Danio rerio: one gene and its partner. The protein of the gene in region 1 binds, or shares a complex with, the protein of each later gene. Links are inferred from orthologs where the notes say so. Each region holds a gene or a part of one and is shown in the gene's direction. Other genes may lie near its edges.

Region 1 (8,082 bases):
TTTTTCCCCCTCATTTTAACCAAGTCTTACAAAAGTAATCACAGACATTACAACTTACATAGATCAGATGCTTCAGCAAACTGACTGGTTCAGAACATAAATAGCAATCCCTTAGCAGCCACTGTTACGCCGCACGAATGCATGTCCTCGTATAGGATAATACATCTCAATGAAGGTAAGTGACCCTACAATGATTTCAGAAGGACCCTGCCCTTTGAAGCCAGACTTCTGGTAGAAGGGCACCAAGAAATCCTCACACATAAGGACGGCACGGCGCACATAAGGTAGACAGCGCAGATACTGCAAGTAACGCCACAAGAGGATGGATCCTTTTCCTTGCTGGCGGAAGGTCCGATGGACTGCCAGCACATGGATGTGAACAGTAGTTCCATGAGGTTTATGAAGGGTCAGTGCATCCTAAAAAGAGACAAAATTAAATAGTAAAATGAATAAGTTGAATAGTACAAGTTGCTTAACCATTTATATTACAGTTTTTACTTTTTTCTTTAGCATTTTATTTATAAGTTTTATTTTCAAAGACGTGCACATGCAAATCATGAAAAACATGCGAAACATGATTGAAAATATGTGCGTGTGTGTATTATGACAAGTGTTTTTTTTTATAAAAATATGTTTTAAATCTGTGCTCCAGGGCAAACAATATTGAAAATTTTAAAAATACAAAATATTGAAAAATATACATTAAACTTGATGAATTTTATTAATGAAATTTATTATTTATATATTACCACCATGCAAGGATGACAACACATTTTAATTTATTCATTCATTTTCTTATCGGCTTAGTCCCTTTATTAATCCGGGGTCGCCACAGCGGAATGAACCCCCAACTTATCCAGCAAGTTTTTACGCAGTGGGTGCCCTTCCACCCGCAACCCATCTCTGGGAAACACATTTTAATATTATAATAAATTTTAATTAAATAATAATAATAAAAAAGAATTAATGCTATGTTGTTTCAAACCAATGTTGTCTAATATAACCAATCCTAACGTAATAAAGTTATTTTTAACTACATTTTCACCCAACTGCTGGGTTTGCCCATACTTGACATAGGGCTAAATGTGGGTTTAAATTTTATGGTGTAAAAGTAATAATAAACAATAATAACTAATACTTAATTAACCTATGTTACTAACGATAACAAGTATATATTTGAAGATTATTACAGCAGTCAGACGGTCCTGGTCCCAGAGAGATCCTATGATAAAAGCGACAAGCCTTCCCTGTTCAAACCAGCCCAAAGAAAGCTCAGGACAGAGAGTGAGAAAGTGCCTGACTTCATCCAGGTGAAGAGGACATTCTCCAGAGACTGAAATAAAAGCTGAGAAATAAAACGAGAAAACATTGACGTTCTGACACGTTTCAGACAGTTTTACATTTACCCACACTAAATAAACACCAGACAATGAATATTACACACATATGACCACACAAACCTAATGAAAAGCAAATCGATGATTGCAGTATTGCCTCACCCTCTCTCTCAATTTCGAACACACTGATTGCGTCCTCGGCGTTGAGCGAGCGAAACTCGCTTGCTGGGAGCGTGTGTCGGCGCTGGCGGCCAGGGGAAATCGGAACTCTCGCATGGATGGGCTTCAGGAAAGGCAGTGCGCTCACTACTGACATTTCTGCTGCTTAAAAATGTATTTCGTCTTATAAATAAGTAAATAGTTTTCAATTGTCGCTTACGGGTATTCTATTTCCAAGGGCTGTGTCCAAAGTGAATCATGGAGAGGTGCACCATGGGCATTTATACCCCTCCATCTGCTTAAGATTCATTAGTCACCATAAGCCTTAAAGCAGCCCCCATTTAACCATTAATCACGTTTACTGAAACCACGTGAGTCTGTTCAATGGCCAATAGGCACATTTTGATTTCAATTTGTTCAGTTTTTTTTCATTCATGATAGTTGTGGCAAACTATTTCTTAACTTTAATAACTGAATTAAATTACCTAAAAATCCATTTCATTCACATGGGTTGATGGATCAGTACACTAAAATTCCATTAAACAGCCAAGATTAGATTAGTCTTATTTAAAATAAAGACTATAAAAGGGAGTACAAGGAGGTATAATGAAAATAAAGATAACGAAAACAACTAATTCCCAGAACGGTTGTTCCCATTTCGTTCACAAAATGCTCTGTGAACGTTTCCAGAACCTGCGTTCTCAAAATAATCTCTACAAAAACCCTCCCAAATAATAAAGGGAACATTCCCAGAGGTTTTTAGAACATCCTCAGAAGGTTCCCAGACCAGAATGGGTACATAGGCGCTGTTGCACACAATTAATCAGACATCACTTAAACCATTGAGCAGTAATCTTGCATGAAATTATTTGCTGAACAATAGAACATAGCTTAATTTTATTATGATCTGCATAAACGTTTTTTATTGTAATCACAATTTTATTTCCTTGTAATTGCAAAATAACAAAAGTTGTTTGTGATCTCAACTTAAATAAACAGCCACGTACTGGATGCGTCATTAACAGTTTAAATGTCGTGTTTACATGTTACTGCATGAAAATCAATAATGAAATTGTTGTAATGCCCTGTTATATAACATTTTGTGAAACATGCAAACTGGTGTATGCAGGTAAATCACTGGCAACAAATAGCTAGTTCTATAACAGTAACGTGGAGAGGAAATGTTTCCTATAAATTCTACTCTTAAATATAACCCTGGCCTATCAATGAAGAATTGCACCTTTTGATATTAACTTAATTAGCGTTATTTTGTATTTATTTTACAGATATACACATTTATGGTCTATTATTAAATAAATATTTTATAGGATGAAATAAAAACAACAATAATTCCCGGATTTTAAAAGTAAAATAATAAATAAACATTTAACAAAAGCAACCATCCTGTCAAACACTGCCATCGTGTGGCTGATCTGATCATGTGTTTGGGTGGAGCTGCAGATGAAAAACATAAAACAGATGATCCAACACAATGCCGTACGTAATACACACGCACACATTATTCGTCCCTTATTTAAACCAATTTTGCTATGATCTGACAAGTCAAAACATTTGCTTTAAGTCTCTGTTTTCAACTGATAATGCAAGTAGAGATTCAAATAAGCTAATTGTTCTGCTCTTAAAAACAACAGGTGACTCGTCCTCCATGCGGCGCTGTACGTAGAGACGTAAACACGTGTTTCTCCTGCTCACAGGTTTCCATCCCTCGCCTCCCGCATCATTCAGCAGCAGCAGCAGCAGCAGAGATGGCGCAATTCGCCCCAGCAGCGCTTTCTCCGGCCGTAAGCCTGAGCTCCGAGCCTCCGTCCAGCGCGTTCTCTCCCACGGAAGGTGGAACACAGCGGCTCCTGTTTACGCATGATCTGGTCTCCGGAAAACATCACGGGGCGATGCGTTTTGGGCTTGTACGGATGATTCATGGAGAGGAGGATTTTGAAGATTCGGACTCTGAGATTGGTGGTGATGGCGGTGGAGGAGGTGGAGGCGCTCCCGCTAACTCGGATAACGAGAGTGGTGCTGCGGAAACACGGCCATGGCCTCTCGGTAGAGGATTTGTGCGGGTTCAGTGGTATCCTGAAGGAACGAAACAGGATGTTCGAGAAACGAAGGTAACGTTTATGAAAGCCGCAGATTATCCCAACGTTAACCCCATACGACTAACAATGAGCAATCAGCTATATTTTACCGTCGTCGTTTTTGTCGCGATTATTTAAGCAAAGCCGAAATACATTTGTTGTTGTCTTTTTAGTTTTATCTTTTTTTTTAAACAAGGAGGCAACGTGTGTTTGTTTCATATAGAAAATTGTCCCACTGGGCACTGACAAGTTTTAAGCACATGAGCGCCTAACAATCATTTAAAAACTATCGTAAAGCCGCGAGTACCAACGTAAACGCACATTTATAAAAATAATTAGTTAAAATAGTTCAGGACCAACACAAAAGCTCATCGGCTTATATCAGATACTTTTTAATATTTTGCTTGTAGCGAGTGTGAGTATTTTTTGTAATTTTTATTTCTTATCATTTATTAATCAGTGTAAATTATTTATCACTCGCAAATTAGAAGTGTTTTAGCGTCAATTCAACCTGGAGTAAACAATTTCAGATTCTAGGCCTTTCCCTGACGTTTCTGGACCTTCATCGCATTATTCTACTGAATTGCTTTCAGATTTTCGTTTCAGTGTTTAAGCACTAGAAGCCACCATTTTATTCTTCAGCTTTCAGGTATAGTATTAGAATAAAGCACTAAATTAGAATACAATGGTGTGTGAATAACACATATGTTAGGCTATTTCCAACGAAGACTCCATTAATCAGAAAACTACCCCACCCTGAAATGCCATGTTATGGCTTACAATGAGCATGAATGAACTATGATTAAGAAAACAATATCAGTAGGTTGTTGAAGTAACAGTGTTTTGGTTCTAGTGCAGAATAATTTTAAAACTAGCTCAAAAAGGATTCAAAATGTTTTCTATGATGGATGTTTCTACAAGTCATTTTTGAAAAGTGTCACTCATATATAGTAATTGTAATTATAGGTCTACAAATATATATCAATATTACTTTTTTATTTAAAAATAAATAATTTTTAATACTGTCTTTGAGAAAAAAACTTCTAACAATGGCTTGAATTAACCCTTTAACTACCCCACCAAGAAATAAAAAAAAAAAGAAAAATTGTTGGTATGCATTTATTAGCTCCTAATATTGCTAGTTGTCAATGTATTTTTTTAAACATATCCCATAATTATCATCCCAGAAATAAAGAAAGAAAAATTGTTGGTATGCATTTATTAGCTCCTAATATTGCTAGTTGTCACAATGTATTTTTTAAACACATCCCATAGATAAGTCGCTTTATGTTAAAAGTACCGGTATTGTTACATATACTATGACAATAAGAAAATATGAACAGAACTACTAATAGTATTTAAACATAATCAAAATAAATTATTATTTACTGAGTCATCTTTATTTATTGTAGTATGTCATAAAATATTTCAGGCTCTCATTTAAGACAGTATTTTTTCACAATACACCCAAAGTCAAGTGTAGTAATGCAACATGATTATATAAAAGCCAATATTAATCACTAAATAATATTCTGTGTGTAATATTGAAATGTTATCTAGCTAGATTATTATGGATGAATCAAGAAGTGCAGTATTAGGCTTAAATCCACCTTTGCTTTACTGTAATACATATAGTCATGTGCTCTTTTTAAAGGTATGTACAAATAAAATGTTAATGTTTGCGATATCTTGGGTTGCATAGCTCCTCAAGGTCTAGCAGCAGGCAGAATGAGCAATGCAGTCAAGAGGCAGACTGAGCAAAATAGTCTAGAAGCCAAAAGCAACAAATAAAACAAATACAGTCTAAAGTTGTTAGCAAATTAATTAATTAATTAATTCATTCATTCATTTATTTTCTTGTCGGTTTAGTCCCTCTATTAATCCGGGGTCGCCACAGCGGAATGAACCACCAACTTATCCAGCAAGTTTTTTTTTTTTTTTTTTTACGCAGCGGATGCCCTTCCAGCCGCAACCCATCTCTGGGAAACATCCACACACACATTCACACACACACACTCATACACTACGGACAATTTAGCCTACCCAGTTCACCTGTACCGCATGTCTTTGGACTGTGGGGGAACACAAAGACTGTGTCTTTGGAGCACCTGGAGGAAACCCACGCCAACGCAGGGAGAGCATGCAAACTCCACACAGAAACGCCAACTGAGCCGAGGCTCGAACCAACCTTCTTGCTGTGATGCGACAGCACTACTGCGCCACTGCTTCCCCCTAGCAAATTTATGATTCATTATTGGTGGTTAGTAAACAGTTTGTGTAAAACATGTGTAAGCATTGCAGAGTTATTAGCGTCAGATGCACTTTGACGTCCTGCTAGCACATTTGTCGATGGCGTAAACAAATCATATAGCTGATCAATATGATTTCCATAAATTTTGGTCAAAAGAACAAAGCAGTTCAGACCCAGAAAGAGCAAAGCAGTCCAGAGGCAGATTGAGCACATTTGAGTACATGTGTCGGTCGCCTATTGACATGAATTTCACAATACTTTGTCAACATGGTCTGACAATGATCTGAGTCAAATTTGGTGATATTTCGACAAACGGTCTAAGAGAAGTTTGCAAATGAATTTTTGAACAAAAGCTATATGGCTGACAGTACAATTAATTAAAAATCTGGTTTCGATTTCGATTTTGGCTTCTAACAATTATGAAAAAACATTAATCAAGATAAAATGATTATTCCATCATATACAACCCATTTCCAGTTGTACACATTTGTTGCTCTGCAAAACTCAGTTCCATGTGAAAATGACTAAAAAGCATGTACTGTACTGTAATGTTTGCAGCATGGGATGCGCATCATTCATTGATGTATATTCAAATCATTCATGTGTTTAAATGCATGAAAGAGCGCATGCTGTTGTGTGTGTGCGCTTGGCCTCGTAGACTAGCAGAGCACACACATCTCACGCCATCTGCGAGTGCTTTAATGGTCGAATACATGCACATTTGTGTCAGAGCGCGGTGTTTAGTAATCATTCATATAAACCCTCATTTGTGTAATAAACAGACAAGTTGAGAATCAAAAGACATGTGAAAGAGAAACCATATCAGAGCTGAGCTATTCTTAAAGTGACAGCACGCAACATTCCTGCTGCCGATTGTTTTGATCATTAACCCGTTGCGTTCTGATGAAACGTCGGGGAAACATTGCTAAATATAACGGCTTCCCACAAAAAGACAAAACATTGCATATATCTTTTGAAAGCTGAGATTCTTGTCATTAAAACTATTCCAACCATTTTAAGACACAATGAACATAGCAGACACAATTAGTGTCTTTGTCAAACTGCCGATAACAACAGAAACAACAAAACTGAAAAAAACTCACATTTTATGGCTCCTGTTGCTCTTGTCTGCCCACAGATCCATAAAATTTCAACAAACAGGGTGTAATTACTCTAAAAAGGTACAGCCAATTAAATTCAGTGAAATATTTAGTCCACAACTCGTTTATATGTCAATAAACATCCAATGAATGCACCGAGATCATTTCAAACTAGTCGCCGAAGCAATCAAATCTATAACATGTTCAGGAGTTTAGTGTCTTTTTAGATTTAAATAATACTTTCATTTTGAAAGGAAAATGGGTGCTGACCTTTGCCCTTTTGATTGACGTATCATTTAAACCAATACCTGCTTCTAAGAGGTGTCAATAGCTGTCAACATCCAAGGAGCGCACAACTTGGAAACTGTTTCCGCCGTCGCTTTGACAATCAATAGATCAATCCAAATTTAAATCACTTTGAAAAACACTGCTTTATCTGATAGCCATTAAGCATCTGAAGAGATTAATATGCAGCTTTAGTGGGAAAATTCAACCTACTAAGCACAGAAGTTTGTTTGTAAAGTGCCATAGTGACTTGTGCATTTATGCGTAAAGAGTGGTGCAAGAGAGTTTTCATTGATTGGAGATGAAAATGGCAAAAAACTAGCAAAACACAGTTCTTGCTTGAGGAAGTTGTTAAAATGTACTCTGGTGTCAGTGATGAATCAGATGAGTGATGTTTCATCTATTGACTGCAGATATATTAGTGTGTGTGTGTATAAACTGTATAAACGCATAAATGAGTAGTCTAGAAATATATTACACTTAAATTCATTTTAATTTGGAAAAAATTTGCAAGATTTTGTATACAGTTTTTGGTTTCTCTAGAATTTTGCTGTTTTCATTTTTTTTGTAAATATTTTTCTATAACATATCAATTTGGGTGTACTAATTTTAGATCATTATCATTAGTTATTTTATTAGATAAGCTACAGATCTGGCTGCAGTACTGACTAATGTTTATGCACAAATTATAAATAGAAAAGCTTTCTATTGAAATTATTTATCAGAGATTTATGTCAGAGATCTATGGGAGTACACTCTTTTGTTGAGCACTATATGCACACACACACACATACACACACATATACAGTAGGTGAGACTGGTTCAAAGTGGCTATTAGCACCGCAGCATGTACC
Region 2 (7,537 bases), on another chromosome or scaffold:
TTTGTCAAACTATAGAAAAATTTAGCCAAACCCCTGAAATATGCTTCTGTTTTAAGTAAACCTTTTTATTTCTTGTAATTATTCATTCATTTTTAAATATAAATGCTTTTACTTTGAGAGTTTATGGAAGTGACACTTAGTTTGAAAACTATCATCTGTAATTAATAATTGTGTAGTTTGCTTGCATTTGGTTATTTTTGGCCAATTGTAAATTTAAATTCCATTAATTCCAATGAGAATTGTTATTGAATGCATAATGAGGAAGAAGAGAAAGCGTTGCTGTTCTAGAAGAGCAGTGCTGTACATTTAAACCGCTTCTATTGACCTGCTGCTTCAGCATTTCCAACTGCAGCAAACACAAACCTGCTGAAAGCCTGTGCTCAATCAAGGACACCAGAGACGAACAACACAACCTGTTTATATTCTCACCTCGGTCATAATGCTTTTACCAGATTTACTCTGCTCAAGCTAAATCTAACAAATGCATCGTTTCAGCAGGAATATTGATTCATATTGTGGTTTGTTCTGTGCATAAACTAACTTGGGAACAGTTGCTTTAGCAGTCATATATTGTGACCTTTTTGCTGTGTAGTTGGCTAAAGCATGGGTGTTTGTGTTTAGCGGAGTGAGATCGTGAGAGCGGCGTATGAACCCACAGATGAAGAGTGTGAGTGGAAGCAGGATGAGGAGGAAGAGCTGACAGTAAGTAAGCAGGTACAGGTGATCCATACCTGCATGCTTTACAAACACTGCCACCGCCTTAAAAGGACAGTTCGCCCAAAAATACTGACATCTATAGGAAAAACAAATACTGTTCAAGTCAATGGATATTGGTTTTTAGCCATTCTAAATATTTCAATGTTTGTAATTACATGAATTGAGTAATTTTGTTATATTTTTTTGGTGAACTGTTGTTTTAACTGGACGTGCTGATATACATTAATACAATATACCATAAAGAACATGCATATTATCATAGGCACTTAAACATAGTTGAATAATTATTTAAACTTTAAGTACCCTTGAATAATATTCACACACATTGTTCACTTTAATAATATTCATGCTGTAAGACTTGGTCTATTTGCAAATTTTAACAGGCCTGTTGTTTATTAAGCCCGTAATATAAGGCTTTGACATTTAACATTTAATTAACATTTAATTTCAGTATTTTTAATTAGCATTAACTTAGTAACTACAATAAAAAGCTCACTGTTGATTAATGCATTAAATTAGCAATGACTTTTACTTGTACTTTATCATCCTTTTGCAACTGTTTATTGTAACATTTTGTTAGTTGTATGCAAATAAGCATTACACAAAGTTGTTATTATACATGTTAAAATCTGCAGCTTAGGTTAATACTGATACCACAATACCAAGCTTCAGCGTTTAATCAGATGTTTTAATGTCTAAATGCATCAACATCAAATTGTAAATGGTTATTAAAACCATTTGTTTTGCTAGCATTAACATGGTAACTGCAATAAAATGCTCACTGTTTATTAATGCATTAACTAGTGTGCATTAAGTAGACCATTGCAATGTTACCTATTGTACTTTCATCATCCTTTTGTAATTGATTATTATTGTAGCGTTTGTTTATAATATACAATAAAGCAGTACACAAAGTATTTGCGTTAAAATAATCTCTTGGCTTGGGTCAATACTGATACCTTAATGATAAAGGCTTCAACATTTAAGCAGCTGATATTTCCTAATAACTAAAATTAAGTTGTTTTTTTGGTAGCGTTAACATTGTTACTGCAATTAAAGGTTCACTGTTGATTAATGCCTCATTATTACCATTATAACCCTATTGAGCTCTTATCCTTTTGCAGTTGAATATTCTGAAACATTCGTTTATACACAGCATTGCACAAAGTATTTTTTATTATACATGTTGCAGTGATCTGCTGCTTGGGTCAATACTGATACCTCAAAGATAAAAGCTTCAGCATTTAAGCAGCTCTTGTTTTAATGTCTAATAATGCATTAAAAAGGTGTTAATCATTAGTTTTGCTTGCATTAACATGGTAACTGCATTAATGCTCACTGTTGATTAATGCATTAACTGTGCATTAATTAGACCATTGTAATGTTACCTATTGTACTTTCATCCTTTTGCAATTGATTATTATTGTAGCATTTGTCTGTTATATACAATAAAGCAGTATGCAAAGTATTCGTGTTAATCTCCTGGCTTGGGTCAACACTGATACCTTGATGATAAAAGCTTCAGCATTTAATCAGCTGATGTTTTCTTAATGCATTAATCAAAAGGTGTAAGTGGTTAATTAAATGGGAGTTAAAATTGTTTAATTAGCATTAATCGCAATAACGTAACTGCAATGAAAAGATTGCTGTTGATTTTAATGCATTGTTTGTTAATGAGACTTGTGTAATGTTACCTGTTGTACTTTATTCAATTGCAAAATGATTGTTCTTTGTTTCTCTTCAGTATTGTTTATGCATTTGTATACAATAAGAATTTAAATGTGTGTGTGTGTGTGTGTGTGTGTGTCATCTCTAATGCAGCAATACTGATACCACATAATGATATAAAAGCTTCAGCGTTTAATCAAGTCTAGTCTTACCTTTGTTGACTCTGGTTGATTATCGCCCTCAGGAGGAAATGAAGGAAAAGGCCAAAGTGGAGGAGGAGAAAAAAGACGAGGAGAAGGAAGATCCCAAAGGCATCCCAGAGTTCTGGCTCACAGTTTTCAAGAACGTGGACCTTCTCAGTGAAATGTTGCAGGTAGGACGAGAGTGTAGTTACTTTCAGGTTTACTCTTATAACGCACTTTTAAAACAGCCACAAGACTGACCAAAGTGCTTTACTACATGATTAACAGGGAGATGAAGTGCTTAACGTAAATACTTTTACATATATCTGTTAATATAGCCAAATGTTTGGTGCAGTTAAACATGCACATTGTTGCATTGGATATAAGTTTTATTAATCTTATTAATATCCAATAAGAGTTTGGTCACTAAACATCTTTAGGAATAGAAAAATAAGGATTTTTGTTTAAATAAAAATGTTTTATTGCAACCATAAAATGCAAACTACAAGATTGCAACTACATTTCATATTCGTTTCACTTTATTTGTGAATTTTGCATTTGTTTAACTTGATTTCTGTATGCAAATTTATTTAAATTTTATTTTCCCCCAGCATATTAATTTGGGTGAACCAATTTTTTATTTTTGTTAGATTAGTTGGTGTTGTCTTTTGGTACTGACTAGTCTAATGTATGAGCACTAATATACTACTGTAAAGCATCTTATAGAAAATACTAATTTAAAAAGACATCTGAGAGTAGTTTACTTTGTAGTCGCTATGTAAAAGATATAATTGCAGTGATGCATGGAAAAACAATCCTCAGGCCAATGTAAACAAATGGGTTTTTAAAAGAGACTTAAATGGAGCGGCTAGTGTCCATTCTGATCTGCTTGGAGGGAGTGTTTGTCACTAGTTTGAAAGCAGGTCATGCAGCAGGGGATTTGAGGCTGTGAAGAGTGTAGGACTGGTGCTTACTGCCATCTACTGGTGGGGAAGTGGAGGATTATTAGATAACACAAGCCCTACAGTTGGTGGTACCCTGATTTACAGGGTTTATACGATCATTAAAAACCTGGTAAAGTCATGGAATATTGACGTGGCATTTTCCAGGCCTGGAAAAGTTTTGCAAAAGTCGTGGAAAACAAATATCTGTTTACTTGAATATAGGTTAGGTGTCTTGACTTCTATTCTGCCCTTGGCCAATCACATACTAACATTATTAGTGCGGTGTAAGCATCATCTAAATTTTACATGGATCTAAATTTAAACTAAATAGATTGCTGTGTTTTACCATATGCTGTAACAAATTTGAACATGCATTGTTTTTCTTTAACCATGCGGATGTAGACATTGCATGAAACAATCGGTCATGAGAATATACTTAAGTCAGGGGTGTTCAAAGTCTGTCCTGGAGGGCCGGTTTCCTGCTGATCTTAGCTCCAACTTCCTTCAACACACCTGCCTGAAGATTTCTAGTATACCTAATAAGAGCTTGATAAGCTTGTTCGGGTGTGTTTGATTAAGGTAGAGCTAAACTCTCCAGGACACTGGCCCTCCTGGACCGAGTGTGGACACCCCTGACGTTGGTAAATTCTCATGACCTTATGTTTTAGTAATGTGTATGAACCCTGATTTTATTTAACTAGCTTTTTTTTTCTTGCATTTCTGTACTATAAAACAGAATTCTATGTACTGTAATAAATAATACAGGTATAATCTGTATATTATAAGGAAATGTATTGGCAGCAGCTAATAAAGTGCACAAAATTGATAACGCTTCAGCTAAAATGGAATTTACAAGCAAGTTAAAACTAATATCATGAGTCTCCATTATAGTTAAATTTGGCTTTTAGAAATCATTGTGTACTAAAATTGTAAGCAGCATTACTGCTCGTGTTAAGTAAAGATGAAAGTTGCATTTAATAGTACTGATTACTAGTCTTCGCTGAGGCCAGCTTCCAGCCTCCACTGCTGAGACTGCAGCTCTGCACAAGACTTTTGGCCAGCGGAGAAATTAAAATGTTCGTGCTGAACTGAGTCTGCTTCTCTCAAGGTTTTTTTTCTTCACTCTCCAATTCCGCCGCTGTCGCCACTGGCTTGCATGGTTCAGGATCTGAAAAGCTACTCATTGATGAATTTGCTCTTCAGTGTTTGGACTCCGTAATGATTTCGAACCACACAGAACTGAGCTAAACTGAACTGAACTTAAACACTAAAAACTGAACCACCCTGATCCAGTTACTATGACCATTTATGTGAAGCTGCTTTGACACAATCTACATTGTAAAAGCGCTATACAAATAAAGCTGAATTGAATTGATTTTAAGCATTTGTTTTAATGACACATTTACTCTTCCTGCTCAGGAACACGATGAACCCATCCTGAAGCACTTACAAGACATTAAAGTCAAATTCTCTGACGCCGGACAGCCCATGGTGAGTCTGACTGTCGGAGTCATTCGCTTATTGATTGATTTATTGGTTTAATCTCACTGTTGCCTTTTGTTCTGTTTCTGTAGAGTTTCACATTAGAGTTCCACTTTGAGCCCAATGATTTCTTCACACAAACAATCCTGACAAAAACCTACAAGATGCGGTCTGAGCCGGACGAGTCGGACCCCTTCTCTTTCGACGGGCCGGAGATCATGGGCTGCACGGGGTACAGATGAATTCTGCTCTTTCCCTGTTTTAGTGCTAGGATGCTTTGGAGATAATAACAATTTGTTCATGCATTAATAACAAATGGCAACAGGAATTGGATCTTTGAGTATCAGACATGCTTCAATGCTAATTTTGAGCACCATTAAGGTTTTTATTTACTCTTCTGTTGGTTTGATCTAGAGCTTTGTGTATATAGTTCTAAATCTGAAATGTTCAATAAATAATAATTTCATGGGCCGTGGGCTAGTGATTCTGCCCTCGGTTGTAAATCCCGACATGCACATTTTCAATATTAATAATTTAGATAGTGCTCGGCAGTAGTTTTCACTGAGCTCTTCAGTATAGAGTCTGAGTTGAGTGATTTTGGGTTTCAGCTGCACGATCGACTGGACTAAAGGCAAGAACGTCACATTGAAAACCATCAAGAAGAAACAGAAGCACAAGGGTCGTGGCACAGTGAGGACGGTCACCAAGACGGTTCCCAACGATTCATTCTTCAACTTCTTCTCTCCGCCTGAAGGTACATCATTTTACATGCGTTGAAAATTTACAACCCGTTTACCTCACCCTCGATTCAAGAGGATTTTGATCTGTGAAGCATTAGATGTTAGTTTTTGTTGACTTTAGCTGGTTTATAGAATACATGTCAATGGCTGTAGGCACTTTCAAGACTTATTTTTTTTTTTGCACTACACTTAACACAAAACAGTGAGTTCTCGTATTACTGTGCCATGTTTTACTAATAGTACCATATATATTTTGTGGAGGTGTGGTGTCATGCATGTAAAAGTAATATAAAATCAATATACACTCTAGAGAAGAGCAGTAAATAAGTGCTGTTTATTACAGCTGTTGTTGATTTTAGTGCTGGGCAAATATTAATTGCACCCAAAACTAAAGTTTTTTTTTGACCGTACGTGTACTGTATATCTAAATGCACATGCATGCATATATTTAAATGAATGTTTGTTTATATTTAGTAATATTAAATGTACGTATTTTTATAGAAATCCATGCATGATGGATATATAACCACAATTTTTTTGGTGTAATTAGTTGTAATCTTTCCCCAGCACTAATTAATTTATGCTTTTAAAATGAGTAGATTTAGTTGATTTTATAAATTGCAGATAATCTGAAAGTTTAAGTTGCTTCCAAGTATAAAAAATAAGGATGTCAGTAATTCAGGATGAATGTTGTTAAAGCCAGTGCAAATACTAATGAAAAAATCATGTTTCCACTAATGTAGAGCTAATCTTTCGTATGAGTGTTTTTCCTTACTTGACTGTATTTATTTAATTTTTTTGCAGTTCCAGAAAGCGGTGAGCTGGTGAGTGGATCTTCCTACTTCTAAACTTAATATCCAAATGCGCAATAAAACAAACTGTTTAATTTTGACTTGGGGCTTAATTTAGTGTGAAATTGACCGTAAAATGAACTTGTATAATTAATTTCTTTGATTGCTTGTTTTGTGACATCAGCTTGCAGAAATCGAGATATGCTGGTGTATATAATGGTATTAAATGAGTGTCACACAGTAATATTAGGAGTGAAAGTTTGTTGATGCTGTTTCAGGATGAAGACTCAGAGGCAGTTTTAGCAGCAGATTTCGAGATCGGTCACTTCATCCGTGAGCGTATCGTTCCCAGAGCTGTGCTGTATTTCACTGGAGAGGCCATCGAAGATGACGATGATGACGTGAGTGAACAAGACCACATAAAACTGTTCATTCCTCTAACTAGACGACTAGTCAGTGTTTATACTGAGAGCACTTTGACGTACATTTTTGTACTTTAATAGCAGACGTGGAAAGAATTTACCTTATTTGTTAATCATCTAGTATTCATGTAAAAATTCTTATTGAATTGTGAAGTTGTATTCCCTTTGTTTATATTGATTAACCTAAACACAGTGTTAGTTTTTAAAGTGGTAAAGCCTTAATGTAATCTAGATGTATATAGAATATACTTTTTCTCTCCATGAAAATGGCCATAGGAGTAGGCATGGTGTTAAATGGAAAAAAAATAAGAAACCAAATGACCAAAAGTTGCCCAATATTCCTCAATCTGAACACTGTTTTTCTTTTTCAGTATGATGAGGAGGGAGAGGAAGCGGATGATGAGGTTGGTGTTTATTTTTTTCTATTTGCATATCATAACCGATTACACAATTACAGAACAATAATCATGAAGGCACAGCAAACTTTTTACCCCATTCTCCCTCCCAACAACCCATTCCCTTAAAAAAAAAAAAAAAAACTAAATAAATAAATAAAATATAAATAAATCAACAAATAAATATGATAAAAAA

What was found. Proteins that work in one complex are often made in the same cells at the same time.
Region 2: the proteins of (E3-independent) E2 ubiquitin-conjugating enzyme UBE2O (region 1) and nap1l1 are in contact, whole or in part, in a cryo-EM structure (PDB 7UN6), measured with the Homo sapiens proteins. The link is inferred for Danio rerio from reciprocal best matches to the Homo sapiens genes UBE2O and NAP1L1. Residues at the interface, in NP_071349.3 of Homo sapiens: Ser225, Asn226, Val282, Lys283, Pro284, Val285, Lys289, Ser290, Lys291, Phe292, Arg293; in NP_001317160.1 of Homo sapiens: Arg333, Arg337, Thr343, Gly344, Glu345, Ala346, Ile347, Asp349.

Annotation. Positions count from the first base shown.
Region 1 is NC_133181.1:22,000,024-22,008,105, forward strand, and holds the start of (E3-independent) E2 ubiquitin-conjugating enzyme UBE2O, read left to right. Parts: upstream 1-2,935; 5' UTR 2,936-2,957; coding exon 2,958-2,993; intron 2,994-3,211; coding exon 3,212-3,625; intron 3,626-8,082. Other genes in the region: aanat1 (serotonin N-acetyltransferase), read right to left, coding at 112-417, 1,191-1,345, 1,500-1,653. UniProt on the Homo sapiens protein: E2/E3 hybrid ubiquitin-protein ligase that displays both E2 and E3 ligase activities and mediates monoubiquitination of target proteins. Negatively regulates TRAF6-mediated NF-kappa-B activation independently of its E2 activity.
Region 2 is NC_133179.1:2,691,340-2,698,876, reverse strand, and holds part of nap1l1 (nucleosome assembly protein 1-like 1), read left to right. Parts: intron 1-621; coding exon 622-714; intron 715-2,629; coding exon 2,630-2,758; intron 2,759-4,930; coding exon 4,931-5,002; intron 5,003-5,085; coding exon 5,086-5,225; intron 5,226-5,601; coding exon 5,602-5,747; intron 5,748-6,537; coding exon 6,538-6,557; intron 6,558-6,802; coding exon 6,803-6,925; intron 6,926-7,317; coding exon 7,318-7,350; intron 7,351-7,537. UniProt on the Homo sapiens protein: Histone chaperone that plays a role in the nuclear import of H2A-H2B and nucleosome assembly.